Arabidopsis thaliana: one gene and its partners. The protein of the gene in region 1 purifies or fractionates together with the protein of each later gene. This does not show direct contact. Each region holds a gene or a part of one and is shown on either strand. Other genes may lie near its edges.

Region 1 (5,273 bases):
CAAAGCCTTAGAATTCCAAAATTTCACCAGGACACGAGGTCGAAAGAAACCCTCGAGGAAACGAACTCTAATATCTGTAATTAAGACCTAGTCTATATATTAGGGAAAAAGCTGGCGCATAACACAAGCAATTTTCAAACAAATCCAGATATAGAGTAAAACTATGACCTGGACCTAGAAGGTTTCGTGTCGTGTAAATAATTTATATCCAGAAAAAAAAAGAATCTAAACTCTGCGAGAGAAAAGTCAAAGAGAGACAGAGAGAGAGGAATTACCAGAGAATATGCTTGAGGAAGGAGACGAGAAGGAGACGAGACAACTTTAACAGGAAAGAGGGTAATGTGCCAAACCAAAAAAGGAAAAGGTTTTAAGAAGGCGCGTGGCTACATTTTTTATGTCTTCCGAAGCATCGTGGATCATGGGGTGAGGACACGTGTTCGTGTTCTATTGGGAAACCGAACTTCTTCTTTGTTTTAGTGGGCCGGAATTCTTTAAGCCCATTACATTACAAGACGTTCAGACGGACACTAGTTCGGTCCAAAGGCATCACCGTTATCATCTTTTATATTTACACGTTTTCAACGTTCTTTTATATTACATCGTGGGTCAAAAGGTCAAAGTGTTAGCTGCTCTACTTAATCTCAATCAATAACAATCTCATAAAATCAATTATAAATTAAGCGTCTTGGTAACCAAAGTTTTCTTTAATGTTCATGTGTCAGAAGGAAACAACAACCAAAGAAGTAGGAACTACATAAAAATATAGTAAATCTACAAAGTAGTTGTGGACTGGTGAAGGAATGAAGGAGGAGGCCTGACGTAAGTGAAATTGGTAAAAGGGTTGGCCTTAGGATCCGAACTGGGACTGCTCGCCGGAGAATCCAAAACAGACATGTCAGTCCAACACTTGTCAAAATTTGCTATGCATTGCCTTCCCGATACTTCCGGCTTGAAACTTGGCATCACTTCTCTAGCCTCCAGCTTCTTCCAGTTTATTCCCTTGAACCATTTGTGCTGTTTTATCTCCTCTGCTCCGCTCAGTCCACTTCCAAGTCGCCTTTCTGGCTCTTTTTGCAGCAGCTATACATTCATTACAAAGTCAAGAGTCAGAATTGTTCTAAATACAATGCTTCATAGTTCTTAACTGCACAAAGATTTTCATGTTTACTGTTGATTCTGTAATCAAACTGCACCAACATTTACTTACCCCTTTCAGTATTGCATGAGCTTCATTAGACAGAAACTGCGGAAGCTTGATCTTGTCCTTCACAATTTTCTGCTGTATCTTTCCTTTGCTCCCGAGAAACGGTGGCTGCAGAAGGAAAACAAGACATCACACAACAATATACCAAGACATGAGGCTTCAAGCAAATTAACAATAGATAGCGGCTTTTACCTTTCCTGTGAGCATCTCATACAGAAGAATCCCTACGCTCCACCAGTCAGCTGCTTTATCATGTCCTTTTCCTCGAACAATTTCAGGTGCCATATACTCCGTAGTTCCGCACATGGAGTTTGATCTTGTGTTTTCTTCAAATTCCTTTGCTAAACCAAAATCTGTTAGCATCACGTGGCCATCTGTATCCATGAGTATGTTTTCGGGTTTCAGATCTCTGTGCATTATGCCTTTCTCATGGAGATGGGAAACTGCAGAGACGATTTCTGCAGTGTACACTCGAGCCAAGTCCTCTCTGCGAAAGAGTAAAATATAGAACCAATTAAGCTTTACAAAATTCTAGCGAAACTTCAAAAATGGTTCGCAAAAAGGAATTAAACAAACCTGAAAAGCCCTTGGTGATAGAGTTGGAAGAAAAGATGACCTCCGTTTATAAAGTCGAGCACAAGATACAGCCTGTACTTGGTCTGCAAGGGAATGTATAACGCTCTAAGTTAAGAAATAGTAAAGTAAAATAAATAGGATGCTAACAGAGAGAAGTGTTATATATACCTGAAAAGAGTATTTAAGTTGAACAATGAATGGGTGATCAATTTTTGTAAGAATATCGCGCTCAGCTTTCATGTATTCAGCATGGTTCTTCTCCATAATGTGATCTTTCCTCATGACTTTCATAGCGTATATCTCAGAGGTCTCCTTTTTCCTCACCTGGTAGACTTTCCCAAACGCACCTTTCCCAACAACCTTCATAACCTCAAAATCATCTATGCCTACTACACCTGAGACTTTCACCAGATCTCCCTCTAAAGCTTTCTCATTGTCACTGTCGTCATTACCAGAGAAATCATCATTTTCTTTTAAAGATTCACCTTCGAGACACTCCACCAAGTCAATTGAGTCCTCAGTCTCTAGTAAGGTGAGCTTGGTCAGCTTCAAAGAATGACTATCGAGCGAACACGGGCCAACCAAGGAGTGGGATCGACTGTAGACAACAGCAGGCTCGTCGTAAGCAATATCATTGGCCTCTTCGGGGAGTGGACCAAACACATCAGAGAACTCAAGTTCAACATCATCTTTCAAGACAGAATTTGAAGGGCTGATGGATAGATATTGCTGTTTCTGGATTTTGTTGGGGACAGGACGCTGAGAGGAAACCATAATTTACACGGGAAAAATCGATACAGAATCACTGAGAAAGCTGCAAGAGTTCACCAGCCTGGAGAGAGATTCTGTACCGACAGAAGTTAATGAGGAGAAAACTGACTAAAACAAAGGCTGGCAAAAGGCAATCCAATAACAAGGAGAAGAAGCTCTTGTTGTTTCCCGATTTTAAGGAAACAGTGGATGCTGCAGAAGTGCGCAAATGCCATGAAGGTTTTATAAGCTCTGCAAGTACATGAAAAGTTCACACATTTAAAGGCTATCACATGAACAAATAAGATCTGAGATACAGGATTGACCAAATCTATGAAGAGACGGTGTAGAATTAATATAAGCAAGTCCAGTGATCCTTTTACTAATTGAGATTTTCAGAAAACTTCGAACCCACATAAAAAAAGGGAAAACTTTCACAGCGATGACAAATCTTGAATAAAACCCAAATCCCTAACAATTTCCGGATTCAGAATCGGACAAAGATTAAAAATTCCACAGGACATGAAGCCGAACGAGACACTCGAGGAAAAGGAACTGCAATTTCGATAATTCAGATCTATTGGTAAGTAAAATTTCACGTAAATCGAGATCTACAGAAAAACTATGACCTGAACTTAAACCGTTTCGTGTCTTAGAAACAATTCATGAATTTTGGATAAATTCTATGGATCTAGAATACGAAAAAAGGAATCTTAACTATGCGAGAGAGAATTCAAACAAACATAGATAGAGAGGGAGAATTGATTACCAGAGGGGATGGCTGAGGGAGGAGACGAAGATGGAAATGAGGACGAGAGGAGAATTTAAGAGCAGCATCGCAGATCCAGGGGTTCATACACGTGGCCGTATCTTATTGGGAGAACGTTGACCAGTTGTTAAATATGCGGCGGAGGTTTTTTTGTCCACTAATTCTTTATTTATTTTAGTGGGCCGCCTTTCACCAAGCCCATTCTTCCTGACTTTTTGTTGTTTTTTAGATCATATCTTTTTTTTCCGGATTATGTGGATTTGAAATCCACAATGAGGAAATTTTACCAGCCATTAGATTCACAAAATACATCAATTTGTGAGAGACTGAGAGAGTATTTTGCGTATCCAGAGATTTTAGAAGCCATTAATCTCTTATTCCATTGAATCTCTCTAGCTCGATGTTCCTCATTCATTCTTAACCTTTCTATCATAAAAAATTTCATGCTTTTAAACAGTTACGAAAAGCATTAGGATTGACCAAATTATGTTAGTTCTTGTATGAATTTGCTGATTTTAATCAAACTTAAATATATATAAATTTATTTAATCGAAAAATTGTCTCTCGATGTTCAGAAAAACAAACATGTGTCCCCGGATTCGAACATTCTCATATACAAAAAAGATGTATCATTGCCTTGTTGTTAACGACCCAATTAACTAGGTGTAGTAGACCCGGATCACGCTCGGTTCATGTATGCACCAGTTCTTGTGTCCACAAATATCTCTTCACCGACGTTAATAAAGAGTGGTACAGCAACTATTGCACCCGTTTCCATTGTCGCCGGTTTTGATCCACCTACGAAATTCATCACCCCACTTGGTCAGTTTAAGCTTGTTTAAACCAAAACATGAGAAGAGATCTCTCAACAATAGATTGGTGCAACATTGTTACCTTGCACAGTATCACCGCGAAGGCCAGGATCAACGTCAACCACTTTTAGCTTAACTGTAATCGGTAGATCGAAATCGATAACCTTGCAAAGATCCAGAGAGAAACAAAGTTGGCATCACCGCTTAATTACGTGAACTATTAACTATTTTTACAGAGAAGCTGAAAGTGAGTGTACCTTGTCTTTCCAATAGAGCAAAATGCAATCCATTCCTTCTTTCAACCATTTCGTCTTCTCACCCATATCAGATTCGTTAAGACGTGTTTCTTCGTATGTGGTCTATATAAAAAAAAAGATTTGATAACCAAGAGAAAACGTAATCATTAGTACACAAACTTTAAGCTACTACTACCATACTAGCGAAGAAGAGAAGTAAGGATCCAATGTGACATACCAAATCCATGAAAACAAACTGAGACCCATCTTTGTATGTGAATTGTTTGGTTTCTTTATATATATTAGCTTCCTCAACCTGTAACATAGAATGGTCATAATCAAAATGGTGCAACTAAAAAATCATTCATCAGATTAAGATATAAGAGAAAAAGAGATGATTTTTACAGAAATTCCAGCACGAAATGTTCTCTCGACTGTGCTACCATTCACATAGTTCCTGATCTTAGTTCTCACAAATGCCGCACCTTTTCCTGGTTTAACATGAAGAAACTCTGCTCCAACAAAGCAAGAAAAAACCCTCAGTAGACTAGTAAGTAGCTAAGTGGAAGCATTATAACCAAAACAATGCTTAAATCGTCATGAACTAGTAATAGTATCTACAAATTCAGAAACCTTCCAAGTTCCAAGTATAGATAATAACATAAACTAAGAGGAATTGAGGAAGAAGAATACCAAGAACACGCCAAGGAGCACCATCGACTTCGATATTGGTTCCCGCTTTGATGTCGTTAGCAGACATAGAGCAGTGAATCCCTGCAAAAATCAAACGTGTCTGAATATAAATTTCAAAATCAATGCATGCATCGAATTTAAAGAAGCGAATAGAGATATTAACTGGGAAATCTGTTGGTTCGGGGAGAAATCCGGACGGCGGGGAGCGCCAGTCGATTCATCGATGAAAACGA
Region 2 (6,114 bases), on another chromosome or scaffold:
GGAGCAGTTATTTTATTGGCAACCAAATACTGATTATCGACTAATTAAAAGAATCGTAACGTCAAATATCTAATTGGTGTAGTTTATATGTTATAAAATATGTTATGGATAAACAACCCACAAGAAAGTTATAAGAATTGTAATGAATTTCAAATTTTCATTAGACCGTAAAAACAGATCTGGCGCGAAAAAAATTAAAAGGAAGATTAAATAAAAGAACAACGACTCTGCTGGGGATCGAACCCAGAATCTCTGGTTTCGTAGACCAGCGCCTTATCCATTGGGCCACAGAGTCCTTGTGATGATAGTAGAACACTTAAACAATATAACTTTAATAGAAAGGTACTATTCCCACAATAGCCAACGCCAGTTTTCTTCTATAAAGATCCGTTTAATTTGCATGAACCAACCTAAACCTTCTTCTCTGTATCGTTTCAATTCCAATTACAGTGTACTTTGAAGTTTGAATTACTATAGAAAACCAAAGTGAATCAAAATATAGACTGATGATAATCACACTTTTTGACAGAACAAAGAAAATAGCTTTTGAGATAGAAAAAGAAAGAAAGAATCGGATTCATGAAAAATAACGTTCATAATCTGAAGTATCAAGCTTTCATGGATTGTCTAATAACACTAAACACAGAAATTCACCAGGAACTTATTAGGTACACATCCAAAGAACCCCAGAAAACAAGAAAAAAAGAAAGCCTTTTTAGAACCTATAGAAGAGGATATCTATTGTCTTTGAGACAATAAGAGTATTGCACGATTCAACATTAGCTGAAACCTTGTTTGTTTATCCTCAAACAATGGCTGGAGTCTTCTCTGCTAGTTTCTGTAGCTTCTCGGGACGAGAATCTTCGGTTTTATCTTCCCCATAAGCTGAAACATGAACTCCAAGAGCCGCACGACCTGATGGGTCAAGATTCTGTGACCAAGCTGCGTCCCATTCCACAGCTTTTGCTGTGCTACATGCCACACTTGGACCTCCTGGTACAGTTGCTCTAGCAGCACTCTGCTCATTTATCAGTTATATATCCGTTAAACAAATCTGAGCAAAGATCAAGACAATTAAAGAAGACCAAGTAGTTATGCAGATGAAAATCATTACCTTAGGGAAGAACTTTTCAAAGATGGTTCTGTAGTAGTAAGCTTCTTTTGTCAAAGGTGTGTTATCAGGGAAGACAAAGCTTGCGTTCATCAGCATTGTCTCAGAGACCTTACCAAAAGAGAAAGGAGAGTACCGCAATAAAATCAAACTGTTACGTTAAAATATTCTTTCTTATCGATTAAAAGAGACATCTTCTTACATGTTTGTTTGCATGATCTTTTAGACCATCAATCCAGCTGTATCCAACTCCATCACTGAACTGTTCTTTCTGCCTATATAGAATGTGCTACATTTACCAAAAAGATGACAAGTTGTTAGCAAAGCTAGATAGTTTTGTCAAATTGCAGGGAGCAAAGTTTTTGCTAGAAAACCTTTGGTAGGTAAGGATTTTTCTCATCATCAAAGGCATTGCGTAACACCCATTTCTCGATCCTTCCCAAATCAGGCCTAATCTGCATCATTGTTTAGAGTACAAATTATCACCAAATTTGAAACTTGAGATTATAAACTTGTGATAAAAAGAAAGTCATGAAAGAATCAATTCAAACTAGAATGTCCTGAAAGCAGTGTTATATATCATAGAAAGGACTCACAATCACTTTGGTTGATGTGTGCGTAATAAATAGATGAAAATGAAAGTGATGAGAAAGATGACACCTACCATCTTCCACTCTGGATCGATGCTCATTGCGACATTTATAAATTCTTTATCGAGGAAAGGTACACGAGCCTCAACACCCCATGCAGAAGTTGATTTGTTAGCCCTCAAGCAGTCATATTGATGAAGAGCTTTGATCTGTAAACACATCCGCCCACAAACAAGATTACAGAAGGCAGTATATCAAAAAAAAAGTTCTTGTCTAAACTCTAAGGCACTACCTTTCGACATGTTTCCTCATGAAATTCCTTCTTGTTGGGAGCTTTATGGAAGTACAAATATCCTCCAAAAATTTCATCAGAGCCTTCCCCAGAAAGAACCATCTTTACACCAAGCGATTTGATTTTTCGCGACATAAGAAACATTGGAGTGCTGGCTCTAATAGTAGTCACATCATAGGTCTCAACATGGTAGATGACTTCTTCTATGGCATCTATTCCGTCCTGATATTATCATTAGCGGAAGATATAAACAACCAACAAATCTTCATACTCAATACTCTTGTAGATGTAAAAGAGAAAATTTACCTGAACTGTAAAGTGTAACTCGTGGTGGCGAGTTCCTAAATAGTCAGCGACTTCTCTGCCAGCTTTAAGATCCGGGGATCCCTGAAAAGAAAACAGATGAAAATTATAAATCTTGATGAGCATAGAAAGCTTTTGGTGAAAACATTTTGAGAAATTGGGTCAAGACCTTCAAACCGATACAAAATGTGTGCAACTTTGAACCCCACTGACAAGCAGCTTCTGATTTTTCCAGATGGCGTAATGCTACTGAAGCAACAAGGGATGAATCTAATCCACCAGATAGGAGGACACCAAAAGGCACATCAGTCATTAGTCGTTTTATAACAGCCTGCAGTTCAAAGAAATGCCCACATTCATATTTCCAAAATAAGATCAGCATTTGTCAGAGAATATCTTAAGGAAGATAAGACTCCAGAATTTACCTTCTCAAAAGTATTGCGCACCACTAGGGGATCATATGGGGTTGAAGGAACAACCTCAGAGAACCACGGGGGGTTGTACCACCTCCTAAGCCCACCTACAAGAAAGTTTTGTCCCATCAAACTACACAGTAAAAGTCCCAACACAAACTTACTAAAAGATAACTAAATACCAGTTTGACAACATTGATATCTGTGAGCGTTTCCACGACAATATAAGTCAGCCAAGAAATGTCATTATTTGATTTTAAAAATAGATGTGATCTGATATGAAGTGCGAACCTTGTTTACTTGAATAGATGTGGCCTGGGGGGAAGCACATAAACTGCTCACAATCATCACTAAGTGCTTTCATCTCGGAAGCAAACCAAACAGAACCTGTGGAAGATAATTTGTCAAAAAGATAAATCAGTAATCAACGACAAAGAAAGAATGATCTTAACCCATTGAGGTGAATATCTTAGAAAAATGTGAACACACCATCGAGACCCCACCCGATGTAGAGTGGAGTGATACCAATGGCATCCCTTGCAGCAATAAAGCTTTTGTCTCGGGTATCAAGAAGCACAAATGCAAACATGCCATCCAACATGTCGACAAATTCCTCTCCATGTTCTTCGTACTACAATATTATGAAAATATAAATCAAACTGATAGAAGTCTGAACACAGTAACTGTTCAACTACCATAAGGTAATAAAGATTGAGGTGACCTTATTGGACTTAAACTTACACACAAGAAAAAGAAACAGAAAACACAACATCTAAAGAAGCCATGAAGTCAAATCTTCTTTCACTTAGTGAGTACTTACAAGATGGGCAATCACTTCACAATCACTCCCAGTACGGAATTGGTGAGACTTCAAATTTTCACGCAAAGCCTTGTGGTTGTAAATCTCTCCATTGACCTGAAAGCAAGGAAAGAGTCCAAACAAAAATACTCCTTATTCCTAAATCACATGAATCCTCATAAAGTTTGAGGTTTGACTCATGATTTCTTTTCATCATGTCAATGATCATTGAAAAAGGAATCGATATTCACTAATCCCAGTTGCTCCAAGCAATTGAGATTAGGACACAAGTAGAAAAATTACCGTGACAGCAATGGTCTTATCTTCGTTATAGAGTGGTTGATCTCCAGAAGTGGGGTCAACGATAGCCAAACGCTCATGAGCCAAATAACAATCCTCATAACAATGTAGACCACTCCAGTCAGGACCTCTATGCCTCAATCTACATAACATTTCAACAGATAGCATCATCAGTTTACCCATTCAATCAATATTTGACCAAAACATCTCCACAAGATAGAAATCGAGTAAAGGCTCTTCATTTAACAAAATCAAATCGTTTTAACCATAAAGTTGGAAACTTTTCTCTTCCAAAACAATACCCAATAACCTTTAGAACATTGCGCAGCCAAAAACAAAACCAAGGAGATCGAAAACAAAGAATTGGATGAGAGACATTAAATGTGTTTGATTTGAGTATACCTGCGAGAGAGTTCGATGATACGGGAACGTTTAGCTTGAGAGTTATCGACGCAGCCTAACACAGCGAGAATCCCACACATGGTGGTGGTGGCGGCAATAAGAGAACACAACGGCTTCAGAGAAATGGATGCTGTGAAAACTAAAAAGATGAACTTTATAAGATGGGTTTCCAATATTCAATCAGGACCGTTGATTCTGACAATTAATTCATTTTTATTCCTTAAGAGAAAAAGATTCTGATTTTAACTTTACCCTAATTTGCCTTTGACTTATTAATTTCGGAAAAAGATTCTGTTCCCCAGTGTCACGAGATTCGCCGGATTCTCGAGGAAAAAAGGAATTCTTAAAACGACGCGTTTTGATATATCCAATTCTCAATGAAACGATGTCGTTCGATAATACTCCATCACTAATGATGTTCCATCATAAGCAGGTTTTTAATAGAGTTAATCATATGATTAACCACTAATCAGAAAGTCACAACTCTTTTCATCAAATGTGTCAACAGTCTTCAAAACAATGTGAATACATAACTGGGCATTAAGCTGACATTTTTTTGGCAGAGACTATGATTGATTGGTTTAATTCCGTAAAACACAAGTTAGGGCTTATGACATTGACATTAAGCTGACATTTTTTGGCAGAGACTATGATTGATTGGTTTAATTCCGTAAAACACAAGTTAGGGCTTATGACATTGACATTCTCCTCCTGAAACTAGTTCTTTGTCCCGTGGAACTTCTTCTTCGTGTCCTCTCTCTTGTTTCCTCATCTTCTCGTTTTGTCTGGAACGATTTCTTCACCTTTTGCCAACGCAATCCCCAGTTATGTGAGCTCTTCTGTTTGCTACTTAGCCTTTCATACTCTTGTTGAAGCTCATTGTAATCGCTCTGAAGCTCTGACATCTTCTTCTTCACATTTTCTAACTCTTCCTTAAGTGTCTTGATGATTTCATTATCTCTAGACATTCGTTTATCCTCACGACCTCCAGAATTTTCTTCCTCCTTCTCTGGTAGCTTGTCTTGCATCATCATCCTCATCTTTACTTGTTCCGAGAAAAGCACTTGAGTATTGATCTTGTTTATGATAAAATGTTTTAGCTTTGGTCAGTCACTTGTATTACTCTTTGACTTCAAGAAAAGCTTATAGGATAAAAACTGTTCTGTTTTATCGCATACCTGGACGATAGTTCTTAGAGGCAACCGATCATTTTGTGCAGCGTGTAGGCATGCATCAAGTGATAGTTTCTCACAGTTCATTGTTTTGCATAATCTTCTTCTATCGTGATCTGACAATGAAGGATGAGTCTGCAACAGGGAATTTTTATCATTAGTTGTAGTTTTGTGATGAAATAACAAGAAAAGAGTTTATTACCTTGAGAAACATATCAATTGCTCTATAGAGACCATCATGACATTTCCAAGCATTTTCCGGCAACATTTCTGCTAGAACCTGAAACTTTGTGATGGGAAGATATGGATCTTTTGCAATCTCGGCTAAATAATTGTCCAAGAGCTTGGATATGCTTGGCTTTCCTAGAACTTGTTGTTGCTCATGCATCAAGAAAAACTCAAAAATCCTGTGAACCACATCCACATTGTATATAGTGTATACCTCAGGTGAGCTGTAGAACATAAATCAAAGTTATCAAATAAAGACTTCTTTAGTCGAAGTATCTAAAGTTAAAGAGTAAATTTTTCTCACCTGACTCTTTCTTGCTGTTCTTCATTTTTGAAGTTAGGAATTAGGAGGTCACATACATTAGCATCTTCCAAAGCCATGCCGACCCGTTTCTCAAGATCAGATATTAAAGCTGGTGATGCAGAGTAAACAATTGATGTTTTCAGCATCCTTAAGAGAAAGTGACATGAGACTGCTCCCGATTGTGGAGGAAGTACACTGAC
Region 3 (7,573 bases), on another chromosome or scaffold:
ATTAGTCTAACCTTAATTGGATACAGTTGTTGCTGCGGTTGGAACAACTGTATATGGGCTTTATATTTTATAAGGTCTATAAACATAAAACTAAAACAAAAATGGGCTCACTAAAGAAGGCCGGACAAGGTTAATCAGATAGAAGGCCAGTTACGTTTTTATTAGTAAAAAAACGCCCACACGCGCCCAGTTTATTAATTTTAGCGAAAAACGGCAGTTTTCCCAGTCTTATACGCGCTTAGTATGCGAGTGGGTAAGATATTTTCATTTGACAGTTCGCCTACCACGCGCCTCACTCATGGGCTCACTTTTATTCTGCCCATTGGGCTACAAGGAGCGTAATATAATTGACCCACATAAATTAAAAAAGGCCTACTAGCATAAACAAACTATTTTGACCCAAAATCGACAACCTGAGATTTTTATTTTTCCCCGACTGAACAATGTGGTTAAATTTTTGCAATGATTTTTATCTAATTTCCCCTAGAAAAATCATACAAGCATTAACCTTTACTTTTTTTCTTTTTTTTTGGTATATAGCATTAATCTTTACTTAGGGAAAAATGATAGTTGTTTACCATTTCTGCTCTTAGTAATATATAGATTTAAAGAAACTACTAACACAAGAACAAGTCGGAACCAATGCAATAAGTACTAGTCTCCAAGTTCAAAAAAGGAGAACTGTTTCTCTGTTTAATTAACAGAAAACAAAATGGCAACTGATCAAATTACAAAATCATGGAGAAGCGTATTCAAAGGCCTGCGGAGGTTGTGGCTCGTCATCTATGGCCATAGCAGAGGTGGTGGCTGCTTGTTGGGCTTGTCCTGCAGCTTCTGCACCCACTGCAGGGGATGCTGTTGAAGTCGGTGCATCGGTCAGAGACAGAACTTCAGGCTCATGCGGACGCAAGTCTCTGAGAAGGACAAACCCTGATGGAGCTAGCTTCATCGGTACATATCGGCTATCCTCCATCAATTTGATGTATTTCTCCTGTGAAGGGACTACACGCGCAGGATTGACTAGAATCTCAAACGTTGCTTCTGGCTCAACCTTCTTCTCCACCGTTGTAGCTGTGCTATCAACCTGGCATAGTAACATAGAGAAAATATACTTGATCAAAAGTCAAAAGACTGATGATAAATTGATCATGACCTTGAGATTAATCATAGGAACAGCATTTCCCAAAGTAAAAAATGTTAAGAGCAATTTTTCAACTCAAACAGATACGAAGATGTTGGGAATTAGATTTGCATTTTACCTGCATAGACTCTGCTTCCTTCTCATCTGACGCTGCATTGGCTTTTCCAGCTTCATTGCCAGAGTTTTCAGCTTTAGCTTTCTGCTCTGCTTCTTTCTTAGCCTTAGCTTTGGCTTTGGCTGAGGTTGAGAGCACAGCAGTTGGTAATTTGGCAGCGGTGTTGGCAGTAGCAACCGTAGTTGGTTTTGGATACTCAAACAACGATGGTTTTGCGTGTGACATGAATTCAAACTTTGGGACTTTGAGATCGTAGTTCAAACCGATGAAGGCGGTGGGTGAAAACGCCAAGCTTATGAAGTAAATCAATGGGTACCAATACCAAAACTGGCTGAAGACAGTAAGGCCAATGACTGCAGTGACTTTGTCATGTTTTGTCTTAGACAGCAGTCTTATCGTCACATTCCTTCCACCAGCATCAAGAATACCTGAAGCCAAAATTGCTCCCATCTTGCTCATTGTATCTTCATGCTTGTCAAGTATTATCTTCTCAAGTTGACGCCTGCAAAAGCACAGACAAATTTTAGTCTTCAAAAGAGAACTATTCTCACTCCCTCCAATTGATGAAGAGATCGGAACTTCACTAACCTAAATGCTCCAACGCGAGAATCGCTTGCTTCACTAATTTGGACCATCACCATGGCCATGGCAATCAGAGCACCTTGACGAACAAAGTCTACAACATCTGATGTAAGTGGCTCCAACAAAGATATCGCCTCACTCAGACCAGTGCCTGCACAAGAGATGCCAACTGCAAGAGCTGCGCCATAGCGGACATGTGGATTGTACGACTCGGAAAGAAGGGATACAATACGGGGAGTCTACAGTTTAAATATTGAGCCACCAGTTAATGACTGTAAGCGAGCACAAGAGCCCTAAAGGCACTAAAGAAATGGAATATAGTGTCAAGAAGTTAATGAGACAAAAAGAATATGGAGTTACCTGCTCTGGATCAGAGTATAAGACAAATCCAAGTGCAAGAACAGCAGTCCTCCTAACATCGTCACTGACATCAGACACAGCAAAGTGAAGAAGTTGGCGGATGGCTTTGTTGTTTGCAGTTCCACTGTAAGCCAATGCGAGTGCATACATTCCACCATAACGGATGATAGGATCCTGATCTCTAGTCATCTGCTCAATCAAAGTATCTGCTCCCTCTTCTCTTCCATATACTGTGAGAGCTATTCCTAGAGCCAATCCCCTAAACACAAAACCAGATGTTGGTTACTTAAAACATTGAAATAAATTACCATGCACCCACACACATAGCCAAAAATATATTCCAGACTTTAGTTACCTTATTATCTTCTCATGCTGAGTCTCGTGAGCATAAGCGAGCATCTCACTTGCCTTATCAGTTGCTGTTCCAACCAACAATAGACCCATGCTTATGCCGGCAGCTTCACCAGCAACAGCACTGTCAGTGTAAAGCACACTTTTGATATCATCATATATGTCTTCATCAGCTGTCCCAAGAGCAGCCAAACCAAGACCTAAACAAGCTCCGTGTTGAATAACCTGCAACCATATTTTTTTAATGAAAATCATTCTAAACAAAAGACTATCTTTTTGGTGATATAACGGAAGACTATCCAGAAGAAAGATATAGCAAATCACCTCAACACTAGTGCTGCGTAGACTATCACGAAGAAATTGCTTGATTCCCTCACCATGGTTTGCATGAATAAGGCCGAGAGCATATAAAGCACCCCCTTCGGAATAAGGACTCCCGCCACCACCTGCTCCGCCCTGAGGCAAGTATGGGGCCATCAGTGACCTGCCCTGTTGCAAGTGACCCCTATGAATAACACCTAATCCTGCTGTAGCACTAAACTTGGCCCAATTGGTGGCCCTGCTTAGCCAATCCTGACAATTCAAACATGAATGGAAAAGAAAAGAAGATTAAATAATATGCCACATAGTTGACGTTGAAACAAGTTAAAAAGTGGTAGAGAAAATAAATTTTACCAAATTCTCCCTGAGAAAAGTGTCAACTGTCGTTCCAGCATGCATTATAGCATTAGCATAAATTGTAGCACTGTGACATACACTGTTCCGCATCTCAACAGATTGTTTGATTGTCTTCAGGATCAGCAGGTCCGATCTACAAAGAAACAATGGCCATTGCTGTAAATTTTACTATGTGGAAGAAACGACTTAAGAATGAAATATCCTTCGAGATATCAAAAAAGGTAAATAAACTGCCTCACTTGTTATGGCTGTAAAGAAACTGGAGTGTCAGTTGTATTGATGTCTCTCCAGATAAAATCCCCTTAGCCTTTGTTAACCTCTCAGCGTACACAGCGTCAACAGGATCTGTTTCATGCACAATTGTCTGAGATGGAGTTTCATCCGCCATCTGAACATCCCCTGCAGTGTTCTCATTCTGAGCAGTAGAGGTTTCAACAGCTTGAATTGCTTCTACAGGACGGGTCTTGGGCGCTGGAAGGCGATCTCTAACACTCATGAGGAATGCCTGGTGCTCATTCTGTACAAGATCGAAAGAGATTTGGAAAGCCAATAAAGCATCATCTTTGTTCTCTGAACGAAGAAGCTTCTCCAATATGCTTGCAACGCCTTGTGGTTCATCCAAGAACATAAGGCATTGGCAAATGCTCAAATAATCAGGAGAAGCCAGCTTCTGGTAAACATTAACAAGTAACCGAAGAACCTGCAAGAACGAAGTAAGGATGTTATCATTTACAAATTAACAGCCCCTACAAAAATGTTTTGAGTTGACATAAAGAATGCAATGAATTATAACCATTATATTTGTAAGAAAAGAATAAAGAAGATGAGCTCATAGTATCATTAACATAATACATCTATTAAAATCCAGTTTTGTGGCCACCAGACTCACCTCATGTCTATATTCTCTTTGATTAACAAAAGAGTGGGAAACATTGATGCAGTAAGATAATGTTCCCTGCACATTCTCACTCTTTATGATCGCTTCCTCCAACTTATCCAATCTCCGGCATTCTATAGCAATGCCCATGGCTTGTTGATACTTTCCGTCAGTGATACATCTATAAAACAGAAAACCATGTAAGGAAAAACGAAAAACTTGTAGACAGACATAAATAAATAAATTCTGCATCCCATACTTGTCTAGCATTCGTTCAACAATGGCCACCAATCTCGGGTCAATTTCCACCACCTCACTTGACTCGACTGCCTTTGATCTGAGAATAGCATACTCATCTATTGCTTTGGCTGATAAGGAAAACAGAAGCATCCATGAGTAAAACATTCAACATTAAACAGTTAGTAACTGTAAGATCACTATCTTATCATGTCTTTGCGTAACTTTCTAGCAGCACAATCTTATTAAAAGAAAGATGGACGTTCAAGTCTTATTAGTTAGAAAATATATCGTATAAACTATTTTCTTAATCTTCCATTTAATCAGGTTGGAATGATTTTGAATTTACGCCTATTAAGAATGATAACCGAGCTAGTGTCTACTGTCACAGAATTGGATAAAAAAAGTAGAAGAGAAGAAAGTAGCAAACTTCAAAATCCTTACATAGAAGAGTATGAATATAATCAGAATCCTCTGACACATCAAACAAGGATCCAGCTCCAAGGGCATAGGACAAGGAATCGTTAAGCTCACCCAAGTAATAGAAAACCTGAGATAAAACAAGATTAACATAAACGTTAGAAAACAAGTCTTATAATACAATAACATAACTTGATTACAGGAAATTCAAGCTCTGAACTTCTGTAGCAATCTACCAGCTTTTAAGGTATCCGTTTAACTGGCACTCGTATCTCCACTAACAATTTATATAAAACCAGTCATCATGTAAGTTAAATAAAAAGATAAACTGTACCTTGGAGGCCAACAAGGCAGCAAGCTGTCTTTGATGCTGATCAAACTCTTCATCTTCGTATAAGCTCTCTCTACAAAAAAATCAAAAAAAGGTCTCAGAATAGCACAAAAACAGTTTAAGATCTCAAGCAAAAGTAGAGTCTCTACAACTTTCAAAAGAACAAATTTTCCGCATCATGACGGTAAGGGAGCGTCCTTAGCCCAGATAACAATGGTTCTATTCAGAATCAACAGAATTAAGTAAAGCAATTCAATAAAGTTTGTCACTTGTGAATTAACGCATTCAAATCTAACTCGACACAAGAGTGGAAAAACTTGGAATGTAATACCCTAACTAAGAAATATCAAGAGTGCTAAAACTCATCCAAATCCCATAAGCTTTACTCCCAGTAAGCAAACAGAATAGCCTCACGAAGGGAAACAATTAAAAAAAAGAGAAGAGAGAATTGAATACATGATTGGGACACTAGTGGAGATCTCGGGCCAAAATTGGTCAACCAATCTGATGAGATATGAGAGAGCGTGAAGTTTCAAGGAAGGATGGGGTTCGTTGAGCATTGCCAGTAACCCACCGGCGGAACTAACCATGGCGGCGGCCATTATCCTAATCGGAAAATTAGAAACCTAGAGGTGGAGAAGAAGAGTTGATCAGACGGAGGAACACAAGAACCGAACTACTTTGGGCGAGCACAATTTCTGAGTTCACTTTTTCACAAGTCTAATCAAAATCGAAATTCTAGACTTATCGAATATTAAGATACTTACCCAACAAGTCAAGTAATTTTTACCAATACCCCTAAATGTTTAATAAGATTACACTTTCACCCCAAATATATATGATGGATCCAAACAAAATCATAAAGTCGGAATACAAAATTGGGTCTAATGATGGGCCAGACTATATATCTTATAGTGTTAATGGACCAATCTAGCGGCCCATAATAAAAACTTTATTGGTTTGTTTGGAAGTATAGCATATGAGTTTCTAGTTTACATCATTGATTGATGACACCTAAAAAGCTAAAGCTCACAAATAAATGAAATCACATTTTAGGGTTTATATAGATAGTTCAATATTCCATAGATTGACATGGCCTGTCCTCCAACCTATAAAGCGACTACATCTTTTATCAAGTCAGAATTATTTTCTAGTAAATATTTTCTCTTAGACCATACGAGTTTTCACTTAATATGAAATTATGAATAGACATGCAGAAACATTTTCATTTTTAGTTATTGCCCTCTGAAACCTGGACAACCTTCAAATTAAATTTTAATATAATTGATATGAATGTATGATTAATATAATTCAAGGAACTGTATATAATAATTGGTGTCATATGTTCTTCAATTTTTCAACTATATTTGCATCATATTTTTCTCTTTGTGTTGGATGAGATCAATATGGCAGTTGGGCAGACAATGAAACATAAAACTTGTCCAGTGACCGGTGAAACATCTTTAACTGTTTTTACTCAACAGCAATTATATCCTAGTTGTTGTACAGGTTGAATCCATGCACATTGACGAAAAGTGCTTATGCTATCACGATCTCTCTCTAAGTCTATATATATACTGCTCATGCAAGAAGCAATTTCGTATCAAAACATCCTCTTCCAATAGCTTCTAATATTTTAACTACAAACATTTTAAGTTTCCACTAACAATGGGTCTAATCGCCGGTAAAGTGCGTGTGTTTGTTTTGGTGTTTGCTTTGGTCACAGATTTTACTATGGGAGAAGCAGAGTTTGGTGATGAGAAGCCCTTGTTTCCTCACCCTCACCCTCATCCTCTCCTCCACAAGAAGGGCTTTAAAAAAGAATTCGGCGACTTAGGTGGTGGTGGTGGTATCAGCGGTGGAGGCGGCTTTGGAGCAGGTGGCGGTTGGATTGGAGGCAGTGTTGGAGGCTTTGGTGGAGGAATAGGCGGTGGATTTGGTGGAGGAGGATTCGGAGGTGGAGCCGGTAAAGGAGTTGACGGTGGCTTCGGAAAAGGAGTTGACGGTGGAGCCGGTAAAGGAGTTGACGGTGGAGCCGGGAAAGGATTTGATGGAGGAGTTGGCAAAGGAGTTGACGGTGGAGCCGGAAAAGGATTTGATGGAGGAGTCGGCAAAGGATTTGAGGGAGGAATCGGAAAAGGAATTGAGGGAGGAGTCGGAAAAGGATTTGACGGTGGAGCAGGTAAAGGAGTTGACGGTGGAGCCATTGGAGGAATCGGCGGAGGAGCCGGTAAAGAAATTGGTGGAGGAATTGGCGGCGGAGGTCACTGAGAATTTGTTTAACCGTAATGTGCATTGATGAGGAGCTAAAATCCAATGCATGTCATTTAAGAAAACTAATTCGTTATATATGTAACAATAACTGAAATGTATGTCGTTTCTCTTTAGTTTGTTTTACTCTTTGAATATGATTGTATCTTGCTTCTTCGTGCAAGTAAAGTGAATAAAACGATTAAACAAAGCCTTGTGCATTTAAATTGA
Region 4 (6,818 bases), on another chromosome or scaffold:
ATTTGCCTAACCATGTCAAAATACAATCAAGTTGACTTATACGAAGTCTAGGTGACATGAGAGAGATGGAGCACTAAGAGAGGTAAGGAGTAACGAGTTCCACGTCCTTACGAATAAGAAACGAAGAAAGTTAGAGACCAATCGTATCGTTTACTTTTTTGAACGCATGATCACTTGTCATTTTAGTCCATACCATATCTCTATCGAAATCCAATAATGTTCTCTATGTGGACCCAATTTTCAATCTTTTTATCTAACTTTCTTCTTTTGTACGATCCACCTTTTCATGCTATAAAGTTTGTAATTGCAATGCTCTAACTTTTTCAAATGATTATTCTTCGTTTTTTGTTCTTTTTAAAAATTCTTAATTATATCATATGAAGATACAAATAACTTCATCAAGTGAATAATAGTTTACGAGAATAAGACTGAAGGAAGACTATTTTTGCTATATATAAAAATTGATAAGCATGAAGATATTTTTGAATTTTGGTAGTGATCTAAAGAATACACACATTGTCTTATGTTTGGTCGAGTTGGAACGATTTTATTGATTTCTATCTCATTCGCAAGTTAGCTTTGTTGGGAGTATATTTGATCCATTTTTTTGTCAGTGCCAAAGTGATATCTAGTAACAAAATAAGTCATTACAAATTAGCAAATAGTGAGAAGATGGACCGAGCCACATCATTTGCTGGGTATCCTACTATTAATATGCTACTAAAACCATCATCAAACTCTCTAATCACAGCAATATTAAGCTTTCCTCATGAATCTGTGATTATACTCTCTTGATTCTATCACCTTCAGCTACCAGAAATCCTTCACTCGCTAGCGTCGCGACTGCTTTTCTAACCTGTTTAATGCGTCACAACAACAAATACTTTGTTATGTCTCTGTCCTTAGACCAAAAACCTTTTGATATGTAGCAAAGTGTTATAAATGACTCACATCATGAAGATGAATTTCGGTGTTTATGTTGCCTCCATGCTTCTTCAGTTCTTCAAGTAACTGCAACAACAACATTTCCATTGTACTTAAGAAACGGTTTCTCTTATTGTAAACTGATTTGCTTGCTTTTGGCATATAACAAAATTGGGAAAAAGAAAGGAGTAGTGCATGAATACCTCGGATAAGCGCATTGATGATCCTCCAATTTGCATCTTCTCCAGAGCTATGTCTCTAATTGACGACGCAAAGGTATCCCGCCTCATTCGTTCACTTGCTGACACTCCAGTATTTATCAGGTCCATGTCAATGGTCCCTTCACCAACATAAATACAGGTGTTTATTGTTAGATTGGTATTGAATGCTACTGTTTATCTTTATCCTGATGATAATAATGGGTCTGAAAGTTACTGTGAAAAAACTACCTGTGGCGTGATCCGTTGCTGATTGCTGCATTGCAACTCTGAGAAGTCGAAATGCCTCGTCCACGTCATGCTTTTCAACCTTTATCACAAAAACCATTTCAGTTGATTTAGAACGATGAAAGGAAAATGTATAATATGAGCGTTTAACTAACCCATTCGGAGAAGCGCATCCGAGCCAAGGCCTCACTAAGTCTGATCAAACTTTCAATCTGCCTAGGAGTTGCTGTTATGACCTGTGCCAAATTCAGAGCGTTTCATAGCGTTAGACTAGTCATAGCCTTTTTATGAGCCTTGGTTACGACATAGAAAAGATATTGAAGTTTCGAGGGCACACCTTTTTGCTACTGCCAGCAAACTTCCCTGCTTTTCTCAGCTCAACATATCCTCGGGTCAACTCCTCTGCAGCTTCATCTGACAGTTTAGGATGAATGTTCTTGCGGGCATAGCTAACATAAGTTGTCAGTGTAGTAATATCTATAGCTTCCTCCTGAGCACTCTGTATATTGACACAAATGATACCAATTAAGTAAGATAAAGGCAAAAAATAATTGTCTGTCAACATATCATACACACTGGGAAAATATATAATATAAGACCTCAGCGTTCTCAAAGTGAAGGGCCACAATATGCTTTGCAAGCCTTCGGTCAGTCTGCTCATCGGGCTTGTCAAGAATCAAGTAGATCAAATCGAATCTAAGAAGCAAAATGAGATTATAATTAGTAACACCAAATAGAGGAAACCATTAGCCTTTAGTAAAAATAATGTCACATTGTTGAAGGATTGCAACATACCTAGATAGCAAGGTTGGAGGAAGGTGAATATTCTCAATAACAGAAAGCCGGGGATTATAACGTGAGCCACTAGGATTTGCACAAGCCAACACAGAGGTTCTGGCATTTAGAGATGCAATAATACCAGCCTTTGCTATTGAAACAGTCTGCTGTTCCATCACCTGACAGAGAAACAATGTTCATCAGTAATGCAATCTTATTGACTAGAGACCACATTCACAGGGGGCACCCAAAAACTGTAAGCTACGACTTTGAGCAATGCTAAAAAAGAGAGAGAGGAACAAACCTCGTGTAGCATGCTCCTCGCACTGTCAGACATTTTGTCAAATTCATCAATACAGCAGATACCTCGGTCACTAAGAACAAGAGCTCCACTCTCCAAAACCTAAACAATGTAGCATTCATGTTAGCATGTCAGGTTTATGAAAACTTTGAAACACAGAATAAAAAAAAACAGCTGATAATAAAAAGATTGAAAACAATATTAGCATACAGTTTCTCCTGTCTCAGGATCTTTAGCTACATAAGCTGTTAAACCAACAGCTGAGCTCCCTCGCCCACTTGTGTAAATGCCACGGGGTGAAAGCTTATGAATGTACTGGAGCAGCTGGGACTTGCTCGTACCAGGGTCACCAACAAGTAAGATGTTGATGTCACCACGAAAATTAGCACCAGATGCTAAGTTCAAAGCATTCCCTCCAAAAAGCTTCACATTTGAAATTTGACTCAGTAAAAAGAACTAATTTTGTTTAAACCATAAGTCAGTATCAAAAGCGTTACAGTACCTGGCATAGAAGACCCTTTTTAACATCATCCAACTCCCAGATGTTTGGTGCTAGTGATCTACTAAGCCTCTCATATATATCTGGTTGTTTAGAGAGTTCCTGAAACTTCCTCAGCTGAAAAGTAACACAAATATTGGTTGGAATGGAGGGACGAATGAATAAGATACAAAACTGTAGAACCATTTTAGTTAAATAGATGAAATACCTTCTCCTCATCTAACTCGACATCTTCATCAACTCTACGCAGACTATTGTCAACATCCATAGGATCCTCAGCAGACATTCTTAACTTACTTGCTTTCTTTATGTGAAGGCAATCGATATAGGTCTGTCCTCAACATTCATAAGAAAACATAAATGACAATGTCAGAACGTAATTACAATAAAGGGAAATAACTAACAGAGGAAGAAATAAGATGACATGCCTTAAACACAGATTTCACAGTCCTGTGAGCAGGTCCCACTCGGACAGTCATTGCTCTGTAAATTCCGGTGACCTATCCAGAAAACAAGCTTTTGATTGTCAACGAAAACCATAGGAATGAATGTACTACCCTGATAGAATTACTGCTTTTATTACCTCAATTCTATCACCAGGCTTCCCATTATCAACTAGCTTATCATGCAGCAACAAGCTAACTGTGTGAGGTGTTCCTCCTTCTGGAATCTCATCAGGTGTTTCCTGAAGCCTCACAATCTGCTTATCAGCAAACCTGATACACAAAATAAAGAAGGTAAGTTACAGAAATTATAAGAATCAGACATATACTATGTCTAGAACTTACCTGCATCGGTTGTGCACTAGTGTCATGGAGTTCTTGGTCATGCACTCTTGTTTCAAGCAAGTAGGAGGCTCACTTATTTTCCCTATCAATCAAACAACATTATGAGAAACTATGCAGATACATAAAATCTGGATAAATCCAAATGACCAAATTACCTCTATCAACGATGATGGGGTCAGAGAAGTAACCACAAACAAGGCATCTAAACACAGCTTCCCTTATTTCAGGAATGATAGAGCTACTCCGAATTATCATACCTTTCAAAGAGATCATCTTCTCGATATCTAACCAACCAAACAAAACACATCCAAACATAAGCTAAGCTATTACCACTAGAGAGAACTAAGAAACCAAGAAGAACAAAAACTGAATCATACTAACCAGATGGATTGAGATTTCTCATGGAAGTAGATGTCCTGAGGTTAAAAATCCTAACTTGAACATGTTTCTCGAACAAACGATTAATCGTGGAAACAATATCCATCAGCACAATATCGAAGATAGCGAGAACTTCCAAAGGATAACGAACCATCTTGTTATACAAATCAGGATCATAATCAAACACATCAAACGCATCAACATCAATCCATTCTCCTTCAATCTCAATCACCTTCCTTATCGAAACCATATACTTCCCTTCTCTAAACAAATCATCACTATTCTCTCTAGCTTCTCTGAAATGCTTAACAAACATTTCAATCGCAGATTTAACATCTTGCACACTGATGTTAGTTCCCCAAACGAAAGTCGGAGTAGTATCGTCGCCTCCGTCTTCTTCACCGTCATCGGAAGAAGGCAGTGGCTCGTCAGTGGACATTGGCGTCCCTGGGTCTCCGCCACCACCGCCACCACCGCCACCTCCGTGTCCATTTCTTCCTTTAGATCTGGCGGCGGAAGGACGAGATGTTGGAGGAGTGGAATTGGATGATGCGAGACGTGAAGGCGGTGGTGGAGGAGTTGCGAATTGCGTGGGAGTAGAGGATCTTCCTCGCCGGCGACGGTGAAGTGCGGCGGGGGAAGAGTATGTGTTTTCGATAGGGCTTGAAACGTTTTCTCCGGGAGAAGGAGGACCTGAGGTAGTGAGATTCGTCAAAATTATGAAGCAGTTTCAGATTTAGAGAGAGGGAGAGAGATAGTACCGTCGTTGGTGTTGCCGAGAGAAGAATCAGAAGCCATGGCTGATCGGAGAATTGATTGAGAGACGGAGTGAGAGGTTTCGACGCTTTTTTAGTGAGAAGAGATGAATTAGGCGGGGACTTCACTTGATTTTGGCGCCATTATTACTGGGCTTTTAATGGACCTAATTCCTGGGCCTATTGGTCCCATTTCTTAAACCAAATGACAAAATCAATAAGATGTTAAGAACAGAGGACAGATCTCATCTATTCGCCATTCACAAGTTCAAACAAAAAACTTAGAGAAGCAACAAAGCATAAGACCCATAAAGACTGTTAACGAGAATGTTCCCTCTTTCAAAGACAGCTTACAAGACCCTTTGTTACAGAGAACCAAAAGTTTCAAAACTAAGCTAACAAGAAGTTGCATACTTTAAACATGAAGACTGAGACTAATAGAAACCAGGAATGGTAGAATTCAAGGAATGTTTTCTTCAAGTGAGTGAACGATTTTGTACAAATCCCATTTAAGTATTTAGTCCAAAGTGTCATCATGAAAATTAGTCCCATCACACACAACCGACAAACACAACAAGATATTGAAACAGAACAGAGGACAGATCTCATCCAGAAGAAACCATGCTGAAATTCAAAGAATAGATACTCAGATTAAGACAGAGAACTAAGAGAAACTGCAACACCTTGTTCTTGAGACCAAACAAAATGAAGGATACATATAAAGCTCGTTCAAAAGAGAAAAAAAAAACAGTAAACATAGATAATGTTGATTTAAAAAAAAAACGCATAAGTAAGAGCATAAAATGGCATGCCCATTGCTTTCACCTGGCTCGTCTCTATCTCCTTATCCTTGTCACTTGTCAGTCTTCTTCTCCTTGTCCCTTCTCAGTCTGACTCTTAATCTGAATCATAATATTCTGGCTCGACCAATGGAGGATGGACTGACTTGAGTTGTTTTAAATCGTAAACATTGAGATCCTCTACGTGGTTTACAAAGGTGCAAACGTCACAAGATTTCGTAACGGCTTCACCAAAACCTTGAATTTCAACACGTTGGAGACTGTTCCTTTCGGGATTGAAGTAAAACACATAAAACGGTTGTTTAGGATTACACTTGCGCATCGAAAACACTATTTCACCCGAAGCAGTCACTCCAGCGATGGATACCAAACGACGGAAGAACTTTTCATCGGTCCAAGTGTAGGCATGTTTCGACCATTCCTGTTTCTCAACATCCGCTAGAATCCACACACACAACTCATTAGTGGCATCAGCGTTGACATTATTCTCCACATATTCCTCGACATCTATACCCTTTTTGTAATAAAGCTCTTGAATGTCGACATCATCCTCCCAATAAATCACAGCTAATTTGCCCTTGTAGTTTATCAATCGACAAAACCTTTTTACGTCAATAAAGGTGAATTTTTCAGACCTAACATCAAAGCAAACTATCATATAACCAGACGTTACGTGATTACCATTAACGCGACTCCAATCCGACGTGTCACCTAAGTAATACAAAACCCCATTGATACATACCCCTTCACTCTTAATATCATGTCGCAATGAACATTTTATCCTTCTCCACTTCAGATCTCCAGCTCCAAATGTAATAACTCTACTATGACCAGGACCAGATGGATAAACCATGGACAATGCCTTGTATTGCTTGTCAATTGGGTCAAACCCGAAAAAGCTAAACGCCTTTCTGTAAGTATACCGATTAGGTAAGATGGCATACCGTCCTGTAGTGGGGTTACATATTAGAGGTCTAGCCCGGCCTCGATTACCATAGATATAGATCAAGCCAAAGGCATAACCAATTGAAAAATATTTTAGGTCATAATAATGACAGATCAGTAGATTGTCTGGAGAGAATCTCACATGAAATTCAGCGGTTGCTACAAGAGTCGATGAGGATTTCTCATATGGATTCTCAAGCTGTGG

What was found.
Region 2: the proteins of PK1 (region 1) and ASN3 purify together in Arabidopsis thaliana (affinity purification with mass spectrometry, with the first as the bait; one large-scale study listed by BioGRID). This does not show direct contact.
Region 3: the proteins of PK1 (region 1) and AT1G04810 purify together in Arabidopsis thaliana (affinity purification with mass spectrometry, with the first as the bait; one large-scale study listed by BioGRID). This does not show direct contact.
Region 4: the proteins of PK1 (region 1) and MCM4 purify together in Arabidopsis thaliana (affinity purification with mass spectrometry, with the first as the bait; one large-scale study listed by BioGRID). This does not show direct contact.

Annotation. Positions count from the first base shown.
Region 1 is NC_003074.8:2,650,810-2,656,082, forward strand, and holds PK1 (protein-serine kinase 1), read right to left. Parts: upstream 3,404-5,273; 5' UTR 3,300-3,403; exon of another isoform or gene 2,783-3,299; 5' UTR 2,555-2,782; coding exon 1,949-2,554; intron 1,864-1,948; coding exon 1,781-1,863; intron 1,692-1,780; coding exon 1,397-1,691; intron 1,313-1,396; coding exon 1,208-1,312; intron 1,081-1,207; coding exon 772-1,080; 3' UTR 512-771; downstream 1-511. Other genes in the region: AT3G08740 (elongation factor P (EF-P) family protein), read right to left, coding at 3,979-4,097, 4,194-4,275, 4,369-4,470, 4,586-4,663, 4,753-4,859, 5,041-5,121, 5,204-5,273. UniProt on the Arabidopsis thaliana protein: Downstream effector of TOR signaling pathway involved in osmotic stress response. Could be involved in the control of plant growth and development. Phosphorylates the ribosomal proteins P14, P16 and S6.
Region 2 is NC_003076.8:3,212,129-3,218,242, forward strand, and holds ASN3 (asparagine synthetase 3), read right to left. Parts: upstream 4,424-6,114; 5' UTR 4,291-4,423; coding exon 4,211-4,290; intron 3,951-4,210; coding exon 3,812-3,950; intron 3,626-3,811; coding exon 3,530-3,625; coding exon of another isoform or gene 3,526-3,529; intron 3,341-3,525; coding exon 3,199-3,340; intron 3,097-3,198; coding exon 3,001-3,096; intron 2,817-3,000; coding exon 2,722-2,816; intron 2,628-2,721; coding exon 2,466-2,627; intron 2,381-2,465; coding exon 2,300-2,380; intron 2,216-2,299; coding exon 1,994-2,215; intron 1,911-1,993; coding exon 1,776-1,910; intron 1,567-1,775; coding exon 1,486-1,566; intron 1,401-1,485; coding exon 1,314-1,400; intron 1,223-1,313; coding exon 1,115-1,222; intron 1,019-1,114; coding exon 806-1,018; 3' UTR 523-805; downstream 1-522. Other genes in the region: DOT3 (Phototropic-responsive NPH3 family protein), read right to left, coding at 4,900-5,286, 5,389-5,517, 5,585-5,834, 5,915-6,114. UniProt on the Arabidopsis thaliana protein: Essential for nitrogen assimilation, distribution and remobilization within the plant via the phloem.
Region 3 is NC_003070.9:1,348,425-1,355,997, reverse strand, and holds AT1G04810 (26S proteasome regulatory complex, non-ATPase subcomplex, Rpn2/Psmd1 subunit), read right to left. Parts: upstream 5,919-7,573; 5' UTR 5,695-5,918; coding exon 5,549-5,694; intron 5,166-5,548; coding exon 5,096-5,165; intron 4,892-5,095; coding exon 4,786-4,891; intron 4,473-4,785; coding exon 4,364-4,472; intron 4,286-4,363; coding exon 4,117-4,285; intron 3,928-4,116; coding exon 3,467-3,927; intron 3,361-3,466; coding exon 3,225-3,360; intron 3,123-3,224; coding exon 2,874-3,122; intron 2,775-2,873; coding exon 2,554-2,774; intron 2,458-2,553; coding exon 2,199-2,457; intron 2,078-2,198; coding exon 1,845-2,077; intron 1,759-1,844; coding exon 1,260-1,758; intron 1,085-1,259; coding exon 737-1,084; 3' UTR 532-736; downstream 1-531. Other genes in the region: AT1G04800 (glycine-rich protein), read left to right, coding at 6,761-7,363. UniProt on the Arabidopsis thaliana protein: Acts as a regulatory subunit of the 26 proteasome which is involved in the ATP-dependent degradation of ubiquitinated proteins.
Region 4 is NC_003071.7:7,125,755-7,132,572, forward strand, and holds MCM4 (Minichromosome maintenance (MCM2/3/5) family protein), read right to left. Parts: upstream 4,976-6,818; 5' UTR 4,912-4,975; coding exon 4,875-4,911; intron 4,807-4,874; coding exon 4,117-4,806; intron 4,020-4,116; coding exon 3,891-4,019; intron 3,818-3,890; coding exon 3,736-3,817; intron 3,664-3,735; coding exon 3,531-3,663; intron 3,448-3,530; coding exon 3,376-3,447; intron 3,279-3,375; coding exon 3,156-3,278; intron 3,065-3,155; coding exon 2,951-3,064; intron 2,872-2,950; coding exon 2,659-2,871; intron 2,551-2,658; coding exon 2,452-2,550; intron 2,327-2,451; coding exon 2,166-2,326; intron 2,067-2,165; coding exon 1,970-2,066; intron 1,870-1,969; coding exon 1,708-1,869; intron 1,607-1,707; coding exon 1,526-1,606; intron 1,453-1,525; coding exon 1,374-1,452; intron 1,265-1,373; coding exon 1,128-1,264; intron 1,012-1,127; coding exon 952-1,011; intron 857-951; coding exon 782-856; 3' UTR 525-781; downstream 1-524. Other genes in the region: AT2G16450 (F-box and associated interaction domains-containing protein), read right to left, coding at 5,766-6,818. UniProt on the Arabidopsis thaliana protein: Probable component of the MCM2-7 complex (MCM complex) that may function as a DNA helicase and which is essential to undergo a single round of replication initiation and elongation per cell cycle in eukaryotic cells.